Macaca mulatta: one gene and its partners. The protein of the gene in region 2 interacts with the protein of the main gene of each other region in a pairwise test. Links are inferred from orthologs where the notes say so. Each region holds a gene or a part of one and is shown on either strand. Other genes may lie near its edges.

Region 1 (3,500 bases), on a different chromosome or scaffold from region 2:
GCATCTCCAGTGAAAGGCAGGAATTCAGTTGCAGTGGGGATATTTAGAATTTGCCACACAGCACTTGAAAAAGCTAGTCTAGTTTTTGGTACAAACTGCTTTAACACTAGGAAATTATAATAAACCATACAGGATTAACAGATTGCTATTTTGATCTTAAGTCTTTATATGAAAAACAAAGATGATGGCCCTCCACCTAATGGTTACAGAATAAACCATTCTTTTGTTTAGTTACTCTTGGGTACTGTCAGTTCAGAATGAAGTGAACTTTCTACCACACAAAAGTGAATTAATGTAAAGCTATTTGCAGAGTTTGGTTTTCACAAAGTGGAGGACCTAATTCGTCCCCTATCTATACAGATCACTTCTCTATTTCATTTCATCAATTTATCTAAGGCTGAGGACAATGGCTCATGCCTGTATTCCTAATACTTTGGGAGGCTGAGGTGGAAGGATTGCTTGAGGTCAGAAGGCTAAGACTAGCCTGGGCAACATAGTGAGACCTGGTCTCTACGAAAAATTTTAAAAAATAGCAAAAAAAAAAAAAGTGCCAGGCATGGTTGTGCATGTTTATAGTCCCAGCTACTCTGGAGGCTGAAGCAGGTGTATCCCTTGAGCCCAGGAGGTCAAGGTTGCAGTGAATTATAATCGCACTACCGTACCCCAGCCTGGGTGACAGCAAGACTCCGTCTCTCAAAACAAACAAACAAAAAAAGGCTATTGCATCATTTCCTCTTTTTGAGAGTTGGAGCCAAAAGAGAGAACAGTTGATGCTACTTCTATAATCCAATTGCTGATGCTTTTCTCTGAGTTTATATTGTTCAGAAGGAAAAAACAAATGAGAAAGCTGACCATTGGCAAGTGGAAATAACATTCCAGAACATTCTTGAAGAGAAAAAAGAATTCAAAGTTTCTGAGTTATTCCTACTGCCCAATTTTCTGACTCTCTTTTCACTTCTTACCATGAAGAAGGCACCCCGGTGATAATACTTCTGTAAGAACTTATATTTGCCCTTAACGGCTTTGTTGGTAATGACTTTGCCATTTGCCCGAAGTTCAGCTCTCCTCTCTTCCTCAGTCAGGTTTCGCATGCGTTCAATTTCTGCTTTCTCCTTCTCAAGCCTGTCCAGGGAGCAAAACAATTTATTGGTACTGTTACAGCTTTAGAAAGACCAAATTATCAAAAATAACAGTCCCATGTTATTTCAAGTATTAGTCACCTTCTTTAATTCTAGTCATTGCCTATTAGGAATCAAGATCAAGAGCTCAATAAACAAAAGGGTGAGTTAGTCTTCATTATGTTTGCCAGACTAGGTATTGCCAACTTCCAGAAGTTGATTCTAGCTCTTTTGACATTCAGACATACTATTATTGCTGGGTTTTGCAACATTACGAATTCTCTTTCCCTAAAAGGTCTTCTTAGCTTAAAAAAAAAAAAAAAAATCAGTGAATTTAAAATAACTGTCCAAGGCTTTGCTGGTATTCCTTTATGTAAGTGTATCATAATCATATAGGTGCTTGCATGTCACAAACCAAAGATTACCATCATTAATTAGATTGCAGTAACTTTTTTTTTTTTTTTTTTTTTGGTGACGGAGTCTTGCTCTGTTGCCCAGGCTGGAGTGCAGTGGCGCCATCTTGGCTCACTGCAAGCTCCGCCTCCCGGGTTCACGCCATTCTCCTGCCTCAGCCTCCCAAGTAGCTGGGACTACAGGCGCCTGCTACCACACCCGGCTAATCTTTTTGTATTTTTAGTAGAGACAGGGTTTCACTGTGTTCACTAGGATGGTCTTGATCTCCTGACCTCATGATCCGCCCACCTGTGCCTCCCAAAGTGCTGGGATTACAGGCGTGAGCCACTGCGCCCGGCCAGATTGCAGTAACTTTTTAGCCAGTGTTGGGGAGAGAGGGGGTGATATCCCTTTTCTCCAAAAAAATGCATATACACACATAATTTTGTGTACAATTTTATTTTATTTTTTATTTTTTTGAGATGGAATCTCATTCTGTTGCCCAGGCTGGAATGCAGTGGCACAATCTCGGCTCACTGCAACCTCTGCCTCCCAGGTTCAGGCGATTCTCCTGCTTCAGCCTCCTGAGTAGCTGGGATTTACAGGCGTGTACCACCATGCCTGGCTAATTTTTGTATTTTTAGTACAGACGGGGTTTCACCATATTGGACAGGCTGGTGTCAAACTCCTGACCTTGTGATCTGCCCACCTCGGCCTCCTAAATTGTTGGGATTATAGGCATGAGCCACCATGCCCAGCCTTGTGTACAATTTTAAAGGGCACTTGGACTCCTACTCCTTCAGGTCCAGGATAAAAACCTTAGAAACTACAGGCTGAGGGCCAGGCGTGGTGGCTCATGCCTGTATTCCCAGCACGTTGGGAGGCCGAGGTGGGTGGATCACCTGAGGTCAGGAGTTCAAGGCCAGCCTGGCCAACATGGTGAAACCACGCCTCTATTAAAAATACAAAAATTAGCTGTGTGGTGGCATATGCCTGTAGTCCCAGCTACTTGGAAGGCTGAGGCAGAACTGCTTGACCCCCAGGGGGTGGAGGCCAAGATTGCGCCACTGCACTCCAGCTTGGGCGACAGAGTGAGACTCCGTCTCAAAAAAAAAAAAAAAAAAAAAAAGAAACTACAGGCTGAGGATGGAGTTATCTATTTATTGTGTGTAGCTCATATTGAGGCAAGTTTTCTTTTTTTCTTTTTTCCAGATAAGAGTGTCACTCTGTCACCCAGGCTGGAGTGCAGTGGCGCTATCTCAGCTCACTGCAACCTCTGCCTCCTGGGTTCAAGCGATTCTCTTGCCTCCACCTTCCAAGTAGCCGGGAATAACATGCAAACACCACCACACCCGGCTAATTTTTGTATTTTAGTAGAGAGAGGTTTTCACCATGTTGGCCAGGCTGGTCTCGAACTCCCAGCCTAAAGTGATTCGCCTGCCTCAGCCTCCCAAAGTGCTCGGATTACGGCGTGAGCCACCACGCCCAGCCTAGAGTTATCTATTGATGGTTTCCTTTGTAATCCGGGATTACCCTCTTATACCTAATAATTTATAGGAATGAGTGATGCAGCTCAGAAATGATTCTGCTTGGGCCGGGCGTGGTGGCTCACGCCGTAATCCAAGCACTTTGAGAGGCCGAGGCAGGTGGATAACCTGAGGTCATGAGTTCGAGACCAGCCTGACCAACATGGTGAAACCCTGTCTCTACTAAAAATACAAAAATTAGCCAGGTGTGGTGGCACATGCCTGTAATCCCAGCTACTTGGGAGGCTGAGGCAGGAGAATCGCTTGAACCCAGGAGGCGGAGGCCACAGTGAGCTGAGATTGTGACACTTCACTCTAGCCTGAGTGAAAAGCAAAACTCCATCTCAAAAAAAAAAAAAAAAAGATTCTGCTCTAACATAGTGTAGGTTACTTAAGTGCCACAAATGCTTCCCCTCACAGTATGCATGCCCCTTTTCAAAAAGTATGACTTTGCTGCTTCTCC
Region 2 (3,500 bases):
GGGAAACCCCAGGGCTGCCCCATCCCCTTTCTCCCTCATTCCCTTTGACTCCTTCCCAGAGACCTTAAGCCGCTGCCACCTCACCCCACCCAGCCAGTAGAGACCAGCCTACCTCCTGCCCCACCCTGTCAATTCCTTCAGTGCTGTGTTCCCCCATTCCCTGCCCTAGTCTTTGAACCCTCTTTGAAGGAAGATAGGGGTGCTGCCAGCCAGAGCTAAGTCCTCAAGCTGCTCCTCCATTTCTGCACCCCACACTACTGTTGGTGCCATTCATAGTAGAGTTCCTGTGAAGCCTCAAAGCCACGTTTACCCAGCTACCAACCACTCCCATTCCACTTCTCTGCAAACACCCTGAACGGCAGTAAAGCTCCTAGTAGGAGCTCAATAAATAACTGTTGTTAGTCTCTTCTGATTGCTAGAGCCTCCTGCTGCTGAGCTCAAGGCTCCCTTTGCCACCCACCCCATGTACCTCTTGAACGGCCCAATAACTCCTTCACCTCTGGCTGGCTCTCCACCCCCGCCATCCCCACGGAGCCTCTCTCTCAGGCCACTGGGGCTCCTAATCACCAGTTTCTAGGACCACCCCCCTTGTTCTTTTAAATCTGTGGGAACCTGCTCCTTTCTTAAGCTCACCACTTCTCTCCTGACCTCCCTGCCATGGTACCTTCCGGGGCCTGCTCCCATTCTCACCTGAACATCTGCCAGATGCTCAAAACACATCTGCTAATTCATGAATGGACTAGTCAATGAACTTGCCCATTCTTCAAAGATGCTTAGACCACCCCCTTTAGAATGCATCTGTTGGTTAAGGTCTAGGATCCCATTTTTGGCTGTCTCAAGTGCCTCCACTTAGCTTGCTATGGCCCAGTTCCATCATGCCCCCTGCCTCTCACATTCCCGTTGCACACTCCTGACCTTTCTGCTGCCTGGAACTCCCTGGGAAGCTCTCAGACGACCTTTCCTTCTTCACCTCACCTGTGTTCCGCGTTACCTTGCCTCCCACACTGCCCAATGCACTGCACTGATGGTCAGCACGGAAGCTCAGCAAATCACTGCTCCCTGGCTTTCCCTCTAGTGTCAACTGATCTTCTTAATAGATACACAACTAGATCCTATTCTTCTTTGGAAGCCACTTCTCCCCACCATCCCCAGATCCAGTCTAGTGTTGGGCACACAGTAGGCAGTAAACCTGCTCCTAAAGTACTGCTTTGCAAGGGGGAAGGCCAATCTTCCTGGTCCAGAGGGTGTGCAGCAGTCCCATTGCCTGCACACAGGCCAGGATTCTTAGTGAGGCCCCTACTCACTCTGAGCAAGCAGCTTGGCCACCATGTCCTGACTGCCGGCCTGGGCCTCCTGTGTCTTGCTTGCCAGGCGGCGGTTTGCAGATTCCAATCTCTCTGTTTCAAGGGAAGGAAAGATGTTTTAGTGTCAGGTGAAGCTGCCAGCTTGGGATTTTTCCTGACATCCTATCAAGACGGGGCTGCATCCTCCACATTGGGGATGGGCCATGAGGAAACCCCGGCTCAGCTCAGGGCCCGATGGGAGGGAGCCTCCTCTGTCAGAAGCCATCATCCGGGCCCCACGATGGGAGCTCCCTGAAGGGATCCGAGACCCAGTACATAGAGACAAGCATCTCTCTATCAGGGCAGCTCCCGAGGGTCTCAGCCTGGCTCTCTGAGTTCATCTGCACTTTTAGCAGGTAATAGATTCCCAATTTTTCTCTAGAACAGAGGAAGTAAGCCCTCTGCAGAGGCTCTCCAACCTCCACCTGTGTGACTGGCTCTCACCTCTAAGATCCCGGTTGAAGTCTTGCAGCCTCCTCATTTCACTGTCCATCTTGTTCCTCATGGTCTTCTCCAGGGCCTCACGCTTGGAGGAGGCTCTGGTCAGGCTCTCATGGGCCTCAGAGAGCCGCTGGATTTCGCTTTCCAGCTGCAAGAGGCAGACAGCAGAGCTGAAGGAAGGTGAGAGCTCCTAGGGAGTGATTCCAGGCTGACCCACTACTCTCCATCAGAAAAGGTGACAGATGAGAGGACACCAAGCAGGAGCAAAACCTCCAGGTTTTGGTGGGATGACTATGGCGGGATGATCAGAAGCTTGTAGCCTCCAGAAGTAGACTGGACTGCTGGGACCAGCAAGCAACGGTCCATCGGCTGCCCCAAGGACCAGATGCTGAGTGACCCTAGGGCCAGGTACTTTGGAAGTAGCTGCCTGCAGGGTGACTAAACATAGCTTCCCTGTGCCCAGTGTCCAGAAGGAAACATTCTACTTTTGGCTGGCTTCCACCAAGAAACTGAGTACGGTTGGCCAGAAGTGGGCACCAAAAGACTACAGCCATGTCGGGGTGGTTGGACCTAACTTGGACACCACAGGACAGTCAAGGGAGGCCTGAGGCCATCTGCTAAAACTGAGCCTCAGCAGAAAACTGGTAATCCTTCACTAAAGAAGCAGGCACCAGGTCTAAGCCTGAGCCACCTCTGCCTGGTCCCCCAGGCATCACCGTCCACCCAGAGGGCCAGCTGGGCCCCGGCTGCTCCTCCCACTTGGCTGCTGGCAGGTTCCGCACGTGCTCTTAGCTGGCCTGTGATTCCAACAAGTCTTTCCAAGAGGAGAAGTTTTCTTTTTCGCCAGGGCTGGCCTGGAACAGACTTGCTGTTGTGTGGGGGACACAAAGGGCTCTCTGTGGGAGGTGTCCATGAGAGGGGGTGTGTGCAGGGCAAGGGTGCGAGTGTGCAAGGAGCTGGTGAATGGGCTCTTTCTAATCACCACTGGCCAGCAACTGCTCATGCTCCAGGCCTGCTCTGCCGGCCTCTCGGCTGTTCCCCAGCTGTCTGGAGTCAGCTCAGGAGGGTGCATGAGGGGTGAGGGAGGTGGAGAACAGAGGGATGGGGGAAATCAAGCCAAACAGTTTTCAGGCTCCTCTGCCTCTCCTTGGACTACCCACTCCCCAGGTAGCCCCTCGGGGTCTCTTTCTGGTCTGCCCCTCTGAAACCCCAGCAGGGCCTACCTTCTCAATACGGCCGGCCTTCTCTGCAGAGCTCTCCAGCTCCCTCTGCAGCCGCTCATTGTCCCTCTGCAGCCTGGCATTCTCCCTCAGCATGGCCTCCATCTGGGCCAGGTGGGCACTGCCCGAGGTGGCTGAGGAGGCCTGGGCACTCACTGGCCCCTCCACAGCAGGTGGGTTGAGGGAGCTCAGGGGGCCATGGCCAAGAGCAGCTGGATGTGGGGGAGGGGGGTGCTCCTGGGGTTGCTGCAGGTACTGGTACTGTTGCTGCTGTTGGAGGAACACAGGCGGCACCTGGGCCTGCAGGATCCTGGGAAACAGAAGAGACGGTGCTCAGAGACAGCACAGACCCTTATGGTTCCCACCCGGAGCAGCCCAGAGTCGCCCCATTCCTAGGCATATTGGGAAGATGGTTATTATTCATAACTAATATTTATTAAAATTGCTGCAGATAATTATTCAACCCTCAAGTGGTAGGCAGGGACCAGTGGGGAAG
Region 3 (3,500 bases), on a different chromosome or scaffold from region 2:
CAGAAACAATGAAAAATTTAGACAAACAAAACCTATCAAGCTAAGCAATATGCTTATCAAGATAGACATTCATTTGATAGCTACAAACTTTCAGTTCTAGCTTGACTACAGGGTGAGAGGGCTTTTTTGAAGTTACATTAATAGAAGGCACTTGTTATTTACGAATACAGCAAACAAAAACCAGATATTAAAAACTTTACAGCCATTCTGGGTTGTATAAATTCTCAGCAACACTACATTTCAATGTAGTATTTGACTTTTGGATTTTTTATCTTTAGTAAGTCATTTTTATAATTATTGGCTTTTTTGGCACTTAAACTTTTTTGAATGAAATTTAAGATGATTCTAATTTTGAAATCTTAGGCTGATCATTTAAATGGAACATCCTAAGTTTCAGAAATCATATCTCTTATACTAAGGATTAGAAATGCACTTCTCGTTGTACGTATCTAGTTTGATACTTCAAATTAATTTCATTCAATCTTCATTCTGCATTTCTTTGAGGTGACATTAAAACGTTTTTCTCTTTTTCACTGTAGAGCAATGAGTCTCAGTTAGAAGGTCAACTATTAAATCCAAAAGACAAATAACTATGGGTAGGGATTCAAACTGGTATACCAGCCAAAAGCGTTCCAGCCCTGAAAAAGCCAGGTCTGAAAGCCCAGCCTTTACTAGAAACTGAATCCTTGAGACTAATGCCAATCACCTTATAAAAACGAAAAATACTCTTTATGCCAAAAAGGGTATTTTTACCAGAAGAAATTCTGTTTGTTTACATACAGTATAAGCATCAAGTGCTCAAGGCTTTATCCCTACCAACCACCAAACAGAATGGATTTTTCTTTTCTTCCATATACATTCCAGATCTCACTATTTATTTTTTCAGTGTGAGATGCTACAATGAATGTTGAAAATAGTCAAAAAGCTAGGTTAAAAAAATTTTTTTAAATGGCTGTGCTTATGATTCAAAAAGACCTAATTCTGAAGGCATTTCTGGTCAATTCCAGTTGTTTGCCGGATGCTGTAATAGTTGATTCTCCTACCGTGACCCGGCTGTTGGTGCCCGGGTTCCCTCCCAGCCTGTAGTTGTTGTAGGCGAGATGACTGTATGGATTGTATCCCACAAACCCTGGTGTGCTGGGCATTTGCTGATGGAAACAAATGAGACAAAAACACGAATGAGAAATGAGCTCAAACGAGGAAAACACAGAAATGAAAAATGATCTGCATATGGCATGCAAAAGCAACCTGAATTTAAACAAGCAATGATGTGTTGTAATTGTTCTTTTTTTCCACTGAGGAAATTAAATATTTTTCTTTCATTGAGAAACCTGTCTGCAGTGTCTTTTGGTTGTTTTTCTCTTTCTTTTTTGCAGGGACTGGGGGTGTTTGTGTGACTGTGAATGTGTGTTGTGTTTCTGGAGGAAAGCAATACACTGAAGTGTTTAAAACATTCAGGATTTACTTTATGGTCAACAACAGGATATAACAACTTAGCAATATATGAAGACTGAGATAGGAAGGCTTAAAGTGTGATAAACTAGAACTCTGAAAACACTACATGCAAAACAAAACACAATTTATTTGACATGTGGATGCCACCAATGTATTCATCTACTAAAAACAAAAACAAGAAATGGATCTGATTTCAAAGACAGTTTTAAATCATTTTATATAATGTGAGAAATGAGAAGAGACTCAAATCGGGAAGCCAGGATTTGTCAATTGAAAAGAACATATGCTGGATTTGATGGATGTCACATACATGATTTAAAACAAAGACTTGTAAGAAATGCATGGATTTCATTCTGGGGTACTATCTGATCTTTTTAACCCAGTCATTCTTTTATAGGATTTCTCTTCCATCTCTTCTTTGATCCATCTTCCACAGGTCAATCATGAAAACATTTCTGCATTTAGTCTCAATGTGATCTACTTTTCTAGTTGATAGACTTGAATTTTCTTTTTTCATCTAGTTTCCTGATAGCTCTCACCCTTTCAAAACACAACTGCTCATTTCAGCAACAGAACTCTTGGTTTTTGTGAATTATGTGTTGATGTAATCACAAATGGGCTCTTATATAGCAGTGGCCTTGGGGCTAATACAATGACACTCAATGTTCATGAGAACCAAGGCATAATGTATAGAAAGAATATAGTAGAGAGAGACCAAAATTCGGGTATTTTACCTTGTAAAGCTCAATCAAAATATGTGACAATTTCATTTTTACATGCAATTAACAATATCGGTCCTTAACTGTATAATGTAAAATACACTTAACACATTCCAACTAAGCTGTAGCTGTTACAAAATAAACACAATTTCCTAAAACATGTCGCTGCACATATCCTTAGTACCCAAAAGAAAGACATTTAAGCAGATATTACATTTGATACTCTTTAGGAGAAAAGAGAACGGCTGATCAATTTCTAGTCTATACAGTTAGAAAAGACGCAAATTAAGCATATTTAAGTAGGCAAAACACAGATGAAGTATCAAAGGCATGAAAGAAGTGTATATTACTTGGAGTGGTACATTTGGGTGGCGGAGGTGATAGTGGTGATAGTGTTGGTAGTGGTGGTGATGGTGGTGGTGGTAGGAGTAATGGAAAGAAGGAAGGAGAATAATTAATTTAGTATCCATTCTGTTGGATGTTTTAATCCCTAGTTTTCTATATTTTGTGTGTTAACGTGAAATTATAATGGCACAAAAATATAACTAAAGAAAGGCCAAAAAAAATCCTTTTTACGCATAGTAAGTTATAAGGGGACACTTCATTTTTGAAATATTTTAATCTCAAAAAATCAAGTTTGTCCTCAAGATATGATACATTGTCAGAGGCAGTATTTATGTCAAAATGACACCTTCAAAGTTTGCATAAATAATAAGAATCACTGTTCAACATTATGAGGCAATAATGTTATAAAAATAAGGGAACTAAAAAAAAAAAATGGAAAGCAAAACATTATAATTATACCATTTCCAAAGCTGAAGTACATGGTTAGCTCTTTGAGGTCAGAATCTCAATTGTTCAGCTCCACCTGTATAGCCACTAGCGGAATGCCATGGAGATGGTCATAACAAATGTTCTTTGATTTAAGAAAGAAAAGAAACCAAGCACAGGACTTTACGGTCTACTGGAATTAACTTTAGAGCCTGTATATAATATAAATTGAAATGAGAACATATGGTACAGTATCTCTTTTTAAAAGTATCTCACTAAAGAAAAACAAATTGTTGATAAATGTAACTAAAACATATATCTGAGGGTTAGTAAATATGAATAGTTTTCTAGCGGAGAAAACAAAATTACACAAGGACCTAATTAGTAGTGAAAAGTAGACTAGCCTGAAATTTAGGTAGTAGGGGGTATGGAAGGAAGGATTAATATTAAAGAACTAATTTTGTAGAATTTGGTCATGTTAACAGTGTTTTTAAAAAAACAAACAAAACCCCCCTCCCAAAAAACCAACAAGGAAGCCATTTCAGCAAGACCTGA
Region 4 (4,081 bases), on a different chromosome or scaffold from region 2:
TCCCATATAGTCTAGATGTTCTCCTTTCTCTATATTCCCCACTTTCGAAATCTCACCTACTTTCAAGGCAAGGCAGATGACTTACAAATTATTCTCCCCTTCCATATCAGGCAGGTTCCAATGTCACACTTGCATTTGTCAGTTGGGCATTCTTAAACATACTGCCATCACTCCAAAAGCAACATGTCGGCCAGGCAGGGTGGTTCACACCTGTAATCCTAACACTTTGGGAGGCCAAGGCGGGCGGATAACCTGAGGTCAGGAGTTCGAGACCATCCTGGCCAAGATGGTGAAACACAAAAATTATCTGGGCATGGTGGCGCATACCTGTAATCCCAGCTACTCTGGAGGCTGAGGCAGGAGAATCGCTTGAACCCCGGAGGTGGAGGTTGCAGTGAGCTGAGATCATGCCACTGCACTTCAGCCTGGGCGACAGAGTGAGACTCTGTCTCAAAAAAAAAAAAAAAAAAAGCAACATAACATGTCTGGCCGGGCATGGTGGCTCACATCTGTAATCCCAGCACTTTGGGATGCCGAGGCAGGTGGATCGCCTGAGCAGGAGTTCAAGACCAGCCTGACCAATACAGTGAAACCCCGTCTCTACTAAAAACACAAAAAATTAGCCGGGCATTGGCGGTGGGCACCTGTAATCCCAGCTACTCAGGAGGCTGAGGCAGGAGAATTGCTTGAACCCCGGAGGCAAAGGTTGCAGTGAGCCAAGATGGCGCCATTGCACTCCAGCCTGGGTGCCAAGAGCAAAACTCCTTCTCCCAAAAAAAAAAAAGGCCGGTTACGGTAGCTCACGCCTGTAATCCCAGCACATTAGGAGATCGAGGCGGGTGGATCACGAGGTCAAGAGTTTGAGACCAGCCTGGCCAATATGGAGAAACTCTGTCTCTACTAAAAATACAAAAAGTTAGCTTGGTGTGGTAGTGTGTGCCTGTAATCACAGCTATTCGGGAGGCTGAGGCAGGAGAATTGCTTGAACCTGGGAGGTGGAGGTTGCAGTGAGCCAAGATCATGCCATTGCACTCCAGGCTGGGCAACAGAGCGAGACTCCGTTTCAAAGAGAAAAAAAAAAAAAAAAAAGCAACATGTCTGAAATACTCTTATCTTTCACCTTCATCTTAAATCTTTCACTTTTCTATTTCTGTTGATGCTACCGCCACTCTCCTTGTATCTTGGTTTTTCTCTTACCTTCAATCCTAAACTTGCATTCATCAATCCTGTTTTGTGCTTTCTTTGAAATCCCTCACATCTATATTTCCTGTTCCTTTCCGACCTCAAGTTCTTCTCCCAAGGTTTTCACGCTTTTGAATAAGCCCTAAACTCTGGCCCTTGTACTTTTCCTTACATTCCTCTCCCTATAGGGATACCCACAACCCCAACCCAAATTCTACTCATTCTTCAAGATAATTAAGGTAATCCCACCTTCTTCAGCTAGCCTTTGTGACCACCACCCAATACTGAAACGATTTCCTCTGCCTCTGAATTCCCACAGCAATATTTAGTTAAGCATTCATTTGGCATTTAATCAAGTGGTGATGTATGACAGCTCTTTAAGAGAGCCCAGATAATAACTATTTATCCCTCATATTGAGTACTACCCAGTGCTGCACAAAGAAGTCACTCATAAATATTTTTGGATGGCTGATTTATTGATTGAAATTATATCCTTCCATGGAGATTTGCTTTGCAAGGGAAACATGAAAAGAGGGCATGTGGATGATACTAGGCTGTCATAAACCTATCATCAATGCTTGACCAAAATCAGGCCAAGACAAAGAAGTCAGTCTCATCTCCATCATTTCAATCGAAGGAAAATAATCCCGGTAATCACAAATTCCATTTCACTTTGGAATAAACATTCCTAAAAGTTTGCAAAATTTATTTGTGGTGTTAATCTGCCCTCCTTCTCCCCCACCCCAACATAATTTAAAACAGCCCAAAGTTAGAAAAAAATTGAAGGGAAGAAAAGACTTGGAGAATTTTCAACGCTGCCAAAACTCAGCCAATTTATAAGCATATGAAGACGCAAAATGAGCCCGAATGTTGGTCCCTTCCTCTAGGTCTTGCAAACTTCAGGGAGCTACTGAACGGGACAGCTCTCAAGTTAGCCCCCGAAAAGGGACTGACGTAAAAGTGCTCACCGGCAAGTTGACTTGGAAACTGAGGTTAATTACTAAGCCGACACTCGGCCCCGGCAACCCACTAGCGCTGAGAAGTGAGGGTTGCAAAGCAGAAAATAGGGAAAGAGGTCGGTGGGTTGGGGAGAGGAGGCATTTCCAGTTTGTCTGCTGTGGGAAGTTCTCCGCCTCGGCCGGTCGCTCCAGAGCACCACCGGGGGCAGGACTGCGCCGCGTTCGGGAGCTGGGCAAGCCCAGGCCCGCCCCGCCCCGCCCCGCCGCCGAGACCCATCATGAGCCAGACAGCGCCCAGCGACCGGACCGGGTGCAGCCCAGGGCCCAGAGCCAGTCTCCGCCCCTTCCCTCTGTCCCCGCCCCGCTTTCCCAGCAGGACGCAGCCGCCTGGCGTGCAGAGAGCGGCCTGTCGCGCGCTGGGCGCGGGGACTCAGGGTCCCAGCCCTGCTGGGTCGCGCACCTGAGCTATCTCCATCCTCGGAGACCGACGAACTCTCAGTGTCCTCGTCCTCGGAGCTGCTCCCCTCATTTTCGGCGTAGTCCACCTCCATCTCATCGTGATGGTTGGTCTCCTTCTTATCCCCTCGGGAATGGACCGGCATTTTCAAGCCGCGCCGTCGCTTCCCACTCCCGGCGCCCAGCCCGGCCACCGCCGCTTCAATGAAGGGCGCGCGGAACGCCCCGACCCACCCAGCGGCCGAGCCTGCTCGCCCCCTTGGCTCCTCCCCGCCCCCGGCCCGGGCCTCACAACCTAACCCGCAGGCTCTGCGATGGGAGCTCTGCCATTGGCGGAGGCGGTCCACCGAGCCAGAGGGCGGGGCTTGCCCTGCTCTGGTACGATTGGTTGTCCGTAATTACGACGCGGCCTTCCGATGCTTGCCGGGAGTTGTGGTTCGTAGGGCTCAGACCTGCAGGGGCTGCACCCTTCCATGCCTCGGCAGCCCTGATCACTTCTTCTTTCTGGACTTCAAGTCCCACAAGGCACGAAAGCTGACCCTCTGGATCGCAGTTTATAAACTAAACAGAAACAGATTGTGCGAATTTAGTGTGTATTTATCTATTTCCCGCCAAGTGATTGTTTGACCTGCCTGACTATCCGAGATGTTACTGTCAGATGTGAAAGTGTCTTTTGCCTGAAAGAATCTTTGCCTGCTCATTGAGCCGGGGGACCTGGCAAACCGTCTCTTTTACTAAGTACCTTTATTACCTACCACTAATAAACTGTTTTATTTAATTATTAACTATAGACGATAACTTGCAGTTTCTATGTTGCGCAAAAATCTTTATTCTTGAAACTTTTACAATACGGAAAGTAAGTTTTATATTGGCATTTTCAATCTAGTATTTTTTGCATTTATTTTTTACCAGATGCAGTCGCAAAATGTCATCAGTCCTGATTTAACTTTAGTTTTCAATGAAAAATACATACTTAGTGAGATGTACTTTCTCAAAAAAAGGGTACATAGACAAGGAAGAATCAGTGACTCATTAACTGACCACTTATCCTCTGTATCAGGTATCTTGGTAAGCTCTTTACATGAGTTTAGTGAGTTTAAGTCTCACTTTAATAGCCCTGAGTTAGGTGTCATTGTTATTCCCATTTTACAGATAAGGAAACTTCATTTGCAGACCAATCTTAAAACTATATTTTACCCCTTATAACGACAGGGTTTCTTCTTGAAGTGGCAATTTGCTATTGAAAAATAGTACAGGCCGGCAGGGTGGCTAACGCCTGTAGTCCCCACATTTTAGGAGGCCGAGGCAAGCAGATCACTTGAGGTCAGGAGTTCGAGACCAGCCTGGCCAACATGGTGAAACCCAATCTCCAGAGGCTGAGGTGAGAGAATCACTTGAACACAGGAGGTCAAGGTTGCAGTGAGCTGACATCACACCACTGCACTCCAGCCTAGGTGACAGAGTGAGACCCTGTCTCCTGTCTC
Region 5 (4,001 bases), on a different chromosome or scaffold from region 2:
CCAGAAACTGTGAGTAGAGCTTTAGCTTTTCAGGGAGTTCCTCCAAGTATTTTGGCTTCAGTTTCTCCTGAGGCAGAAAACAGCTGTCACCACCCTCAGACAAAAGCTCCCTGCATAGACATGGCCTCCCCAGGGCTGTGGATGGCCCAGGCTGGCCGTGGGCAAGCAGCCGTCTTCCCCGCAACTAAAACTGGGGCAGCGCCCAGGCTTCAACTGGATACATCAGCATTTATTAGACTCTGACTGGGTGCCAGACCCTATCTGAAGTGATCAGAAGGCAGAGAGGAATGAGATGCTGTCCCTGAATCTGTCCTCACTGTCCTCCCAATGGCCTCTGGGTCAGCCCCAGGAGCGCCTGAGCACCTGGCAACCTCTGGACCCAGACATGGGCAGAATCAAGGATGCAAAGAACTACAGGAGCTCAGGGAAAGAAGTAGAAAGTTCCTTCTAATGCGGTGGCAAGAGAAAACATGGACATTGACCAGTTTCCAGGGAGATGAGAAATTCAGGTTGAAAGGAAGAAGGGAGAGCCACCCTTTGACTGGCTCTGAGCTGTCTGTTATGAAAATGTGTGGATCCCTGTGCATTTCAATGACAGCACTTGGAAACTATTGAGAAGATGCAATTCAAGAGTGCCATTACATTCCTCTATCTTGTACTTGAGTCTATATATTCTAGGAGCAGGTAAGTGACGTGAACCAGCTGACAGAAATGACCCATGACAGAGGCCAGAGGCGATGAAGGAGATTCTGAACATGAACTTTACCATCTAGGAATTGAATTTCTATCCTGGGATGCCTGGATCGTGTCCTAAGATTGCTGGGAATTGCCTCTGCTTTTGTTGACATTGGAGTCGTGAGAATAACTGTTGATAGTATGGGAAAGCACTTGGAGGATGAGTGGTACCAAGGACTTAAGGAAAGACCAGTGTGTGCAGGAATGCAAGAGTCCTGGCCCCAAATCCAAACTCTGCCAGGTGCAGATCACTGGGGAGACTCACAAATTCTGGGTTGTAGCAGATCATGACCAGTTGCATCTGGTTGTCCATGATCTGGTTCTCCAAAATGTCCACACGACTCTTCAGAAGAGGAGATGATTCATGTGGATATTTTGTAGAACCAGGCTATAGACGTTTCCAGTGAGCAGGCCAGGGTCCGCTACAGGCCTGACTTTGTGAGTCCTTCTCTGCTCTGGGCCAGAAGCCAGGGAAAGGGGTGACTGGGAGTGGGGTGCAGGACTCACAAAATTTGGGTCAAAGCAGAGTCTGACCATCTCCATGCGGCTGTCCATAAGCTGGTTCTCCAAAATGTCCACAAGAATCTTCTCCTCTTCTGTCTCCCCACCTGCCACCCACAAAACACACTCACTCTGAGCATCACACCCCAATCCAGCCAAGGAGGAGGCCACCTTCCCCCCACACACTGCAGCCAACCACACTCACACAGGTTGTGCTTGCGGGCAATGTAGCGCAGGATGGCGTTGCTCTGGGTGATCTTGTGAGTCCCATCAATCAAGTAGGGCAGCTGGATGAATGGGAAACCGGGGAAGCTCAGTTGGGCCACCAGGCCCCCCAGCATCCCCATCCCATGAGCAAGGGCAGAGAGGAGACCGGGCACTCACTGTGCCTGCTCATGGCAGGCCTGAAATAAGAATACTGTCATATGGACGAATGAGCTTGGACACAGAACATCATGGAAGGGCTGTGTAGACAGCCAGGAGTGAGGGAATTGGGCAGAAGACTCCGGATCCTAACCCCTCTAAGCTGGGAGAGGAGATGCGGTCAGAGACACGTTGCACTTGCCCCCAAAACCGCCCCTTCCCCTGCACCTACATTGGGAAAGTCCAGGCCCAGCTTGAATTTTTCATTCAGCCACTGGCTTCTGTCATAGTCAGGAGCTGTGGTGCGGAAGATGAAATAAAAACAAACCTCCCCAGAGCCCAGCCCTCCTTCCCCGAGACCCTCTCAAGGAGCCAGTGGCAAGACCCCTGAGACAGGTGGATCTAGAACCTGACCACTCAGTCCCACATCCCAGGGATAAGGGAGAAAGAATCCCGGTGAGGGCTGTGGACCCCACGCGACTAAGGCTTCCAGGGTTTAGGCAAGCCCTGAGCGACACCCATCCCAGTTATCCAGACAGGGGGCCCAGCATCCCGCCCCAGCATTCTGCCTTGCAAGGCCAGAGGGCTCCCTCAGGTGGGCTCAGGGAAGGGACAGCCTGCAGCTCCAGCAGGGGAGGCCTGCAGAGGCAGCCACAGGTGGCCACCATGGGTTGCTTGGTGCCAACTCAGCGGGAGTGGGCAGGGCCCGGACACGAAGGTGCCATTACCGTGCCCCATCCGGTACTTCTTTTCCTCGTAGTTTGAGTCTGTGTATTCCAGGAGCAGGCGGATGGCGTGGGCCAGCTGGGAGAGATGGCACGCACGCAGCTCGGGTCAGAGATGGTGGGTCCCTGACTTGGTGACTTTCTCTGCACCAGTCGAGCCCCCAGTCTACACTGCACTAACCTGTCGCCTCCTCTACCCGCCCCCACCGCCAGACACACACACAGCGTCAGGCACAGGCCCTTCTGAGGGCGACCGCCCTGAAGAGGAACGGTCTCTAGAGCCCTTCCCTCAGCTGCTCCACACTTCCCTCCTCCACTTCCCTTCTCCACAGCCCTCGTCCCACCGTCCAGCGGACCCACGCTCACCCCGCGGATGTCCCAGTACCCCAGGATCATGGGCATGGTGCCTCTTGGTGCGGATTCTGCAGACAGGCCTCAGCCGAGCGGGGCTCAGACTTTATGAGAGACCCAGGGAGGGGAGAGGAGGGGCCTTGCTGCGACCCCGCCCCTCGGCCCGCCACGCCCCTGAAACGCGCCATTCTGAGGCCGCGGAGAGGGCGCCTGGGGCTGGAATCAGTAACACCCACGCCCGCCTCCCAGCCCCGAGGGTTCCCGGAGCGAGGTCAGGGCGCCCAGAAGCCGAAGGCCGGGATCACCCTCGCCAGCTTCCCCAACCCGCCCTGAGGCTCCACGAGTCCATCCAGCACTTGCTAAGTCCACAGCGACTTGGCCGTGCGCTTCAAACACCAGCCAGATCCTAAAGAAGCAAAAAGCTCTTCTCCCTTCTCCTCCCTGCCCGCGGAGTCCCTCAGCCTTCTCTCCGCTGCCGAGTTCCCGCGGGCTCTGGGAGACTCGGGCTGCAGGGATCAGACTAAAAGGTGGTGGCCCCAACCTGGGAATTTAATTCAGCCCGTCACTGTAAGAGCAGGACTTCCTCTGATTCGAAAGCTACTCCGAGGGCTTTGTCTCCCCTCTAGCCCCGCCTACACAGGAACGGTGTCAGTGGTATGGGAAGGACCCCCAAGAAATGGGTCAGAGTAAAGGAAATGTGGTCTGTGTTTTCTGTTAGGTGCCCTCGGGTACTGAGTCCTTTGGTCATCTGACTACGTACTATGTAAAGTAGCCACTTCGTATTTTGGCACAATTTATGAATCTAAATTAAAGGATCAGACCCAGCAAGTTGGTGAGGTATCTGAGGTGCCCCCTGGAAATGTCCAGCCAGTCCACTAGGTGAACCTCACATAGACCAAAACAGCAACAGCAGCAGTGAGTGCAGTGGCCACAGAGGGCAGGCGAGGGAGGGTGGAAGAACTTCCGGGACCAAACTGAGGGTCAGGCTGCTATTTCTCTAGGCCCAATAACCAGATGCAGATCACCTGGAGAGGAAGAGAGGTTTTATTTCTGCAACTGGTTACAGGGAGAAGATCTGGAAATTACCACCAGACCAACTCAAAATTACAAAGTTTTCCAGAGCATATATACCTTCTAAGCTATATGCCTACAAGTGAGTGTGCATCATCTAAAGACATAAGTGATTGACTTCTTTAATCTATAACTAAGTTCTGGGTCCTGAGACCTTACTCTGGAGCCTCAGTCTATTTACTTTATCTAAATAGGTCCAGGTGCCGGAGGTGATTACCCTTACCTTGTCCCCTGCTACCTCACGGAGGTGTGGGG
Region 6 (2,360 bases), on a different chromosome or scaffold from region 2:
TCACTTCCTGCTCCTGTTGCCGAGCGCCTCCCCTGAGCCTCCCACCCTGGGCAGCAGCCACCACCGCAGCCTCACCCACCTGCTGCGCCCCGCCCGAAGCCTAGATGAAACGTGTGTGCCTCGAGCCCGCACTGTTCTGACAGCCTAACTCACATCCCCTCCACACATGAAGACCTGAGCAGAGCTGGCACAGAACCCCCAAACTCACAGGGCCAGGTCTGCCTGCCTCACCAGGAGTACCCCACGTGGTGGGCCACAGTCCTCCCACCCGTCTCGCCTGCTGGCCCGTCTTGCCTGCTGGAGCAGCACTGAGCTCCACCCATCTGTGGGTGTCAGGCAGCCTGGCGGGCACCCTGGCCTCCAATCTGCCTTGGACAGAGAAGGGAGAGAAGGGAGAATGCTGGCCTCCTAGGCCCCTCCAGCCCAGCCCACCGCTCACCACAGCCCTGCACAGACCCTTCTCTCCCCAGAGACCCTGCAGCCAGCTGATCTCCACTGAATGACACTGTGATGAAATCACTTTAATGTCCTTGCCAAGGAAATGCCCAAGACACTGGCAGGTGGGCAAGAAAGTGTCCAGACAGGACCCTGCAGCCCCGTCTCCACTCAGCAGGGTCCGCACGCCCCAGGCCAGCAGGCCGGCCCCTCCTTGGGCAACACTGGTCTTTCTGAGGGCAGCCTGTGCCGGGGTCCCACACTTCATCCATAGTGCTTGCAGGGTTCTCTAGAACTCAGTCATCTTCTTGTGGGTGTCTGCTTTCCTCTGCTCCTGCTGCAGGCCTGCTTCCTGAGCCCGGAGCTGCCCCAGCTGGCGCTGGGCTCCTGCCAGCTTCTCCTGCAGCTGGGCTGACGCCACGCTATGCCTGCGGAGAGGCTCACCAGTCAGTGTGGGGTCCCCGGCCATGCCGCCAGCCCCAGGCTGCCATGTCCACTGCCCGTGTGCCCACTGCCTGTCCTCCAACACGCAGACCCCTCCTGGACTCAGCCTGACATGCTTGGGTCAGGTGACCTCCCGCAGGTGTCCTGGGGGCAGGGCCACCCTGGGTTTCCCTCTGCCCTGAGCCGGGCCCCACACCTACCGGCCAGCGTTGCGGGTGAGAGCCTCCTGGATGCTCCTGATGTCCCGCTGGGTTCGCTCGATCTTCTCCTCGGTCTGGAAGAGCCGCAGGCTCAGCGCCCGCTTGGCGCTCTTGCTGGCATGGTACATGTCCTTGCTCCTCCTCCCCGCCGGGGCTGCCCCGGCCTCTAGGGCCCCAGGAGCCTGGCCTTGCAGCTTTTCATTGAGGAAGTCAAACACATTCCGAGGGGGTGGGCGGCCCCCAGGCCGGGCCCCTCTTCCCCGGCACCTGGGGGGCTTGTTGGTGCCAGCCTTGCCAACCCTGGTCCGCTTCTGCAGCGTCTCCACACACTGGTCCAGCGACTTCCCTCGTGGCAACACTACAGCATGGATGGGCTCCACCCGACCATCTGCGTGTCGGCCCAAACCTGAGACAGGAACGGCAGTGCTGTGGCTGCCGGACGCTGGGAACCTGATGGCTGCGGGACCCCCGGGAACGTGACGGCTGCGGGACCCCCGGGAACGTGACGGCTGCGGGACCCCCGGGAACGTGACGGCTGCGGGAGCCCCGGGAACCTGATGGCTGCGGGACCCCCGGGGAATCTGATGGCTGCGGGACCTGGGCTATGCTGCAGCCTCTGCCCACTTCTCCAGGGCTGCTTGTACTCACCCTTGCCAAACTCGTAGCCCATCTTGGTGAGGAGTCTGGAGCCTATGCCTCGCGTGTGCACCTCCCAGCCGGCAAAGGCAGAGCTGCAGGTCCCGGAGTCCACAGTGTCCGACCCCACCACTGCAAGAGAAGGACAGAGGGCAGTGGCCGGCCAGGGCAGAGGACTATGCATGGTGACCTGGGCTCTGACCAATGAGCTCAGATCCTGGGCAGAGCCCCAACACCCCACCTCTGGGGCTCCGTGCTCTGTCACTGAGGCTGCTGTGGGCATGTGACACCAGGCAGAGTGCATGGCAGTCCCCACGGCCTCCTGCACCGTGACCCCTCCTCCACAGCCCTCTCCTGCCCTTGCCCTTCTCCACCTTCGCAAGGCCATGAGCTCCTCACCTGCCCTCACAGAGTCCTTGGTTTGGTCCTCCTTCACCAGGGACTTGGGGCTTCAGAAACCACCATCACTGATCCCTGGGTACACCTCCAACATGCAGACCCCTCCTGGACTCAGCCCACCATGCTTGGGTCAGGTGACCTCCCGCATATACACACACACGTATACACACACCCCTCTGGAGAGCTGGCCACCGGCCACTAGTTCCCATTCCCGAAGCTTCCACCCTGGCTGTCTGGACACCACCT
Region 7 (4,249 bases), on a different chromosome or scaffold from region 2:
CTTGCTGGCCACAGCTGCAGCACTAAGGAAGTGCAGGAAGTCCTGAGCAGCCAGCTGAGCCCCCCGCCCCCCACCCCAACCTCAAGCTGACCCCAGAGGCTGCACAGGGGGGGCCGAGGGGCGGAGCTTGGGTATTAACAACTGGAAAAGTATGAAGAACATTGCTGCCAGTCCCCAGCTCTGAGACAAGGACAGGGGTAGACGGGGGGTAGCGACAGGGCGAGAGAGAGTTACAGACTGGCAGAGGAAAAAGGAGAGAGGGAGGGAGAATCAGACACTGCAAGACAGAACAACAGAAAGAGAGACAGAGTTAGAGAGAAATTCCAAGTCAAAAATACACATCACTCATACAGACACTCGTCAGCCGATGGCCTCTTAAGGAAAGCTTCCAAGTTTGGACAGAAGGGTCCAGGTGGGAAAAAGGGCCAGACTCAAGGTGGGATGCAGGAACTCAGCTGGGGGTGACTGACTGTTCCCAGGAAAGGCCCAGGCAAATGACTCAGAGCAGGGGCAGTTAGACACCCCAGAGCTTTTAGGGTAGGGAGAAGAGCAGCTCTCCCCTCCCCCAGCAGTCAAGAGAATCCCAGCTTCTAGAAGTCACTGGATACTGCTTTGAGCCCATGACTCGGCCCTCTGGAACCCCCCTGAACCCACTGTCTTTGCTCTTGTTTCTCTGTCCCTCTAAAAGAAAGAAAGAAAAAAAAGAAAAAAAAAAAAAAAGCCCATTCCCGCACAGTGGCTGAGCCTAGAGGAAAAAGGGAGGAGGAAGCTGAAGGGGAAAAGTCTGTGATTGTGTGCATCTAAGTGTGTGCTTGGCTGCACAGGCTCCAGTTGTGTGCATCTGGGGTTGTGTGGACACGACTGTTGGTGTGGACCTGCAACTGTGGGGACCTGGGCCTCATGAACTCGTTCTGTACCTTAGTTCAGGGGACCATGTGCAAATGAGTGCACCTGTGTCTGCAGGTTCCACAGTCAATCAACTCACAAGTATTTACAGAGCAGCCCTTGTGCTAGGCTCTGGGTGGCATCCAGAGCTCTTTAAGTGATTCTCCCAGGTCTCTAAGAGCTCACTGTCTAGTAGGGTGGTATCTCAATCGATAGAGACCAAGAAGATGTCATTAGGAATGCAGGCTTTGCACCATTACGCAGGAACACCTTTTCATACAGCCAAATTTAATATTCTTGGGAGCAAGGGTTTTGTTGCCTGCAGAACCTCAGAGTTCCACAGTAAGAGTCCAGGAAAATACTTGTTGCTAAGTTGTGTATACATGTGTTGATGTGTAACTGTGTTTGCATCTGACTGAGTGATAGCGACTGTCACGGCAAGCAATGATGTCTGTGTGACTGGGCTCATGCGAGCACGTGTGTGCCTGTGAGTGACAGGGTCTTTTGTAATTGTGCGGCTGTGTGCAACTGCTCTGTGTGCATGCATGCATGTGACAGTGACTTTTTATGTGTGGGTGACAGCAACTCCTCCTTGCCCCAGTGTGTGACAGCATCTCCGTGTGACCCTGTGTGTGGGTGGGTATGTGCATGGGTCGGTCCCCATGCTCTTGGTCTCCCGTGGGTATATCCCACCCGTCTGAGCTCCACGGTGCAGCAGCAGCCTGCCTCTTCCCTTGTCCCCATGTGGGTGTGTCCAGTAGCTCCTGTCCTTGAGTCCGCCTGGGTGTCCCTGGGTGTGCATGTGGCTGTCTGTGTGGACATATCTCTGTGTCTGCATGTCACTTTTGCTTCCCCCCCTTATTTTGGACAACAGCCCCCTTCATCCCCTCCCCCTCCTGGAGCCAAAGGCAGCACTGAGGGGCAGGCTCCCACCTCACTGTCTTTCCTTCTGTGTCCCCCACCCCCACCCCTGGAACGGTGGTTCTTTCAATTGCCCCTGTCATCCCCCAGGCCTTTCTTTCACGCTGGACAAGGGAGGGCCCCACATGCAGAAGGGGCACCAGAGACACGTTGCAAGGGGAGGGAAACAAGGTGGGGTACACAAACAGGTCCATTTCTCCCTGTCCTCCCCAGCCAGCAACTCTCCTAATCATCTAGGCACCATCAAGTACACCCCCTCCACACACACATTCCCCCCAACAGCCGCGTTTTTGCAATTAGGAGTGTTGCAACCAGACAGCCATGCTCAACTGGGAGGCGGGTGAAGCGAGGGGGGGAACTTCCCTCTCCCAGGACCCGTGCAAGCCCACCACCGCCACCGCACTCATACTGCCCTCCGCAGCTGGAGGCAGCTTTGCAAAGGCCACTCGGCCTCAGAGGCTAGGGGTGGGGGCTGGGGGGGGCAGGCCTCCGGCGCACCGTAAACAAACCGCGGCGCGGCGGGCGGGGGGAGCTCCGGCGGCCGGCAACGGGGCCCGGCCCGGGAATGCGCAGCAGACTGGCCGGACAGAGGCCGGGCGGGCCCTCGAGGGGGAGGCTCGGACGCCATCTCCGCCTGCGAACCCCGGGGCCCACCGACCTCCTACAACACCTCCCTTCCCCAGGGCGTCAGTTGACGCTCCCGGGCTCGTGACAGGGTCACTGGGGTGCCGGGAAAGGCTGAGGCTGGCAGCGGGTACCCCCTGGGCGCCCCCAGCCCGCCTGGGAGCTGGCCACGGAGCCCCGCGGCTTTGCATAATCAATCGCAAGGCATTTGCATATTAATGCCCTCGCTCCCTCCTCCTTACCTCGGCGTGGCGCGCTGGACCGGGCTGGGCAGCGACGCGGGGGTCTCAGCGCCCCGTGCTGGGGGCGTCCATGGGGGGCCGGTGGGGCCCGGGCCGCCCGCCTCCTGCGCCCGGGTGTGAGTGCGAGTGAGCGCGGGGGGGGCGGGGGGCGAGTGTGGCGGCCCCGCGGCTCCTCCGGCAGAGGCGGCGGCCGCTCTGGCTCCTCCCTCCCCCGCCCCGCTCCGGCTGGGGCTCGGGCTCGGCGCGCCCGGCCGGCTCGCGGCTGCTCCCTGCAGGCCGCCTCGCCGCCGCCCGCCCCCGCCCCCCGCCCCCTGCCGCGCCCCGGGACCCCCGCCAGAGGCCCGGCCGCCCCTCGGCCGCTTCTGCCCCGCCCCGCTCTGACTCGCCCTCCCCCGCCCGGGCGGCTCCCGCAGGAGTGGGTACTTGGTGACATATTTTGGAAAAGATGTCATTAAAAAATAGCCTTTGCTTGCCGGGAGAATTGGGGGGTTTTCGGGTGTGCACCGTGGGGGTGGAGGAGGAAGTATCGACGAGCCGCCTGCACCTTATACATGGGGGAGAAAGTCTAAACACCAAATGCTTGCAGGTGTAGAGTTTGTTTGGGTGTTCGGGTCCCTTCTCCGCCAGTAACTCACTGTGTGACCTTGACAAATCGCCACTGCTGTCGGGGGCAGAGCTTCCTCAAGCTTCAGGTGCGAAGGCTGGGCAGGTGACCCCTGATGTCCTTTTAACTTCAATCATCTTACGTTTTTAATCCTTGTGGGGGCTCATTCCCCGTTACCTCCCTCCCCTCTCATTTCTAACATCAATACCGAACCACTGCCTCCCCTTTCCAACGTCACCCTTCTCCATATAGGCTCTTTCTATTCTCTGTCACCAGCCATTTCCCCAACAATCTGCTCCCTCTCCTGCGCTGGGGAGGGGACAAGAGCTGCCATACCCCCTCAATTCCTAGCTCCCCGGTGATGGTATTTCCCCCCATGTTTGCTCCCACGAAAATCCAAATGGTACCAGAGTCAACCTAAGGAAGACGGTGGGCTGCGTACAAATGGACCCCCTAACCCAACCCAAAGGAGAGGTCTCCACCATGCCAGCCCCACCCCCAGCACACACATACACACACCACACACCTGCATTCATGGACATAAAACCAACCCAGTGACGCCAGAGCACCTTTCATCTCAGGATCTCCTAGCGCCAGGCTGAGCCCTAATTACCCCAGCACCCCCCTGGCCCCGCCGGTTCCCCTGCTGTCATTAGCCCAGTTTTACCAGCGGGGGCCACGGCCTTCCCACGGCTCTCAGGGTGGGGCTCTGGCTACACAGTCTGCTCTTGGGGAGGGGTGTGTGTGTGTATGCGAGTGTGTGTGTGTTAGGGGGAGCTGCTCGGCTAATCGCCCAGTTTATACTGGGCAGAATCACTTGGTGAGTGTGGGATTCTGACCCACAGCTTACCCAAGTTGGGTTGCCCTTGCTCATGTCTTAGTATCAGCCACCTGCATCCTCAGTGCTGTTGAAGCCACTTCTTTCACAGGGGGTACTGGAGTTTGTAATTCTTGGTGGAGGGGAGGGTACCTC

The links.
Region 1: the proteins of AMOTL2 (region 2) and MFAP1 interact in binary tests that used the Homo sapiens proteins (3 or more experiments, as listed by UniProt). The two-hybrid records come from large-scale screens. The link is inferred for Macaca mulatta from reciprocal best matches to the Homo sapiens genes AMOTL2 and MFAP1.
Region 3: the proteins of AMOTL2 (region 2) and SMARCE1 interact in binary tests that used the Homo sapiens proteins (3 or more experiments, as listed by UniProt). The two-hybrid records come from large-scale screens. The link is inferred for Macaca mulatta from reciprocal best matches to the Homo sapiens genes AMOTL2 and SMARCE1.
Region 4: the proteins of AMOTL2 (region 2) and BRMS1L interact in binary tests that used the Homo sapiens proteins (3 or more experiments, as listed by UniProt). The two-hybrid records come from large-scale screens. The link is inferred for Macaca mulatta from reciprocal best matches to the Homo sapiens genes AMOTL2 and BRMS1L.
Region 5: the proteins of AMOTL2 (region 2) and GSTM5 interact in binary tests that used the Homo sapiens proteins (3 or more experiments, as listed by UniProt). The two-hybrid records come from large-scale screens. The link is inferred for Macaca mulatta from reciprocal best matches to the Homo sapiens genes AMOTL2 and GSTM5.
Region 6: the proteins of AMOTL2 (region 2) and ZGPAT interact in binary tests that used the Homo sapiens proteins (3 or more experiments, as listed by UniProt). The two-hybrid records come from large-scale screens. The link is inferred for Macaca mulatta from reciprocal best matches to the Homo sapiens genes AMOTL2 and ZGPAT.
Region 7: the proteins of AMOTL2 (region 2) and THRA interact in binary tests that used the Homo sapiens proteins (3 or more experiments, as listed by UniProt). The two-hybrid records come from large-scale screens. The link is inferred for Macaca mulatta from reciprocal best matches to the Homo sapiens genes AMOTL2 and THRA.

What each region holds. Positions count from the first base shown.
Region 1 is NC_133412.1:21,191,518-21,195,017, forward strand, and holds part of MFAP1 (microfibrillar-associated protein 1), read right to left. Parts: intron 1,123-3,500; coding exon 963-1,122; intron 1-962. UniProt on the Homo sapiens protein: Involved in pre-mRNA splicing as a component of the spliceosome.
Region 2 is NC_133407.1:37,408,506-37,412,005, forward strand, and holds part of AMOTL2 (angiomotin-like protein 2), read right to left. Parts: intron 3,370-3,500; exon of another isoform or gene 3,315-3,369; coding exon 3,008-3,314; intron 1,933-3,007; coding exon 1,788-1,932; intron 1,398-1,787; coding exon 1,305-1,397; intron 1-1,304. UniProt on the Homo sapiens protein: Regulates the translocation of phosphorylated SRC to peripheral cell-matrix adhesion sites. Required for proper architecture of actin filaments.
Region 3 is NC_133421.1:65,022,563-65,026,062, forward strand, and holds part of SMARCE1 (SWI/SNF-related matrix-associated actin-dependent regulator of chromatin subfamily E member 1), read right to left. Parts: intron 1,149-3,500; coding exon 1,044-1,148; intron 1-1,043. UniProt on the Homo sapiens protein: Involved in transcriptional activation and repression of select genes by chromatin remodeling (alteration of DNA-nucleosome topology).
Region 4 is NC_133412.1:108,944,901-108,948,981, reverse strand, and holds the start of BRMS1L (breast cancer metastasis-suppressor 1-like protein), read right to left. Parts: upstream 2,801-4,081; 5' UTR 2,744-2,800; coding exon 2,602-2,743; intron 1-2,601. UniProt on the Homo sapiens protein: Involved in the histone deacetylase (HDAC1)-dependent transcriptional repression activity. When overexpressed in lung cancer cell line that lacks p53/TP53 expression, inhibits cell growth.
Region 5 is NC_133406.1:130,497,905-130,501,905, forward strand, and holds the start of GSTM5 (glutathione S-transferase Mu 5), read right to left. Parts: upstream 2,801-4,001; 5' UTR 2,727-2,800; coding exon 2,691-2,726; intron 2,404-2,690; coding exon 2,328-2,403; intron 1,897-2,327; coding exon 1,832-1,896; intron 1,524-1,831; coding exon 1,442-1,523; intron 1,344-1,441; coding exon 1,243-1,343; intron 1,079-1,242; coding exon of another isoform or gene 1,001-1,078; intron 68-1,000; coding exon 1-67. UniProt on the Homo sapiens protein: Conjugation of reduced glutathione to a wide number of exogenous and endogenous hydrophobic electrophiles.
Region 6 is NC_133415.1:116,595,173-116,597,532, reverse strand, and holds the end of ZGPAT (zinc finger CCCH-type with G patch domain-containing protein), read right to left. Parts: exon of another isoform or gene 1,848-2,360; coding exon 1,728-1,847; exon of another isoform or gene 1,486-1,727; coding exon 1,080-1,485; intron 864-1,079; coding exon 725-863; 3' UTR 704-724; downstream 1-703. Other genes in the region: LIME1 (lck-interacting transmembrane adapter 1), read right to left, coding at 457-703. UniProt on the Homo sapiens protein: Transcription repressor that specifically binds the 5'-GGAG[GA]A[GA]A-3' consensus sequence. Represses transcription by recruiting the chromatin multiprotein complex NuRD to target promoters.
Region 7 is NC_133421.1:64,420,668-64,424,916, reverse strand, and holds the start of THRA (thyroid hormone receptor alpha), read right to left. Parts: upstream 2,801-4,249; 5' UTR 2,673-2,800; intron 1-2,672.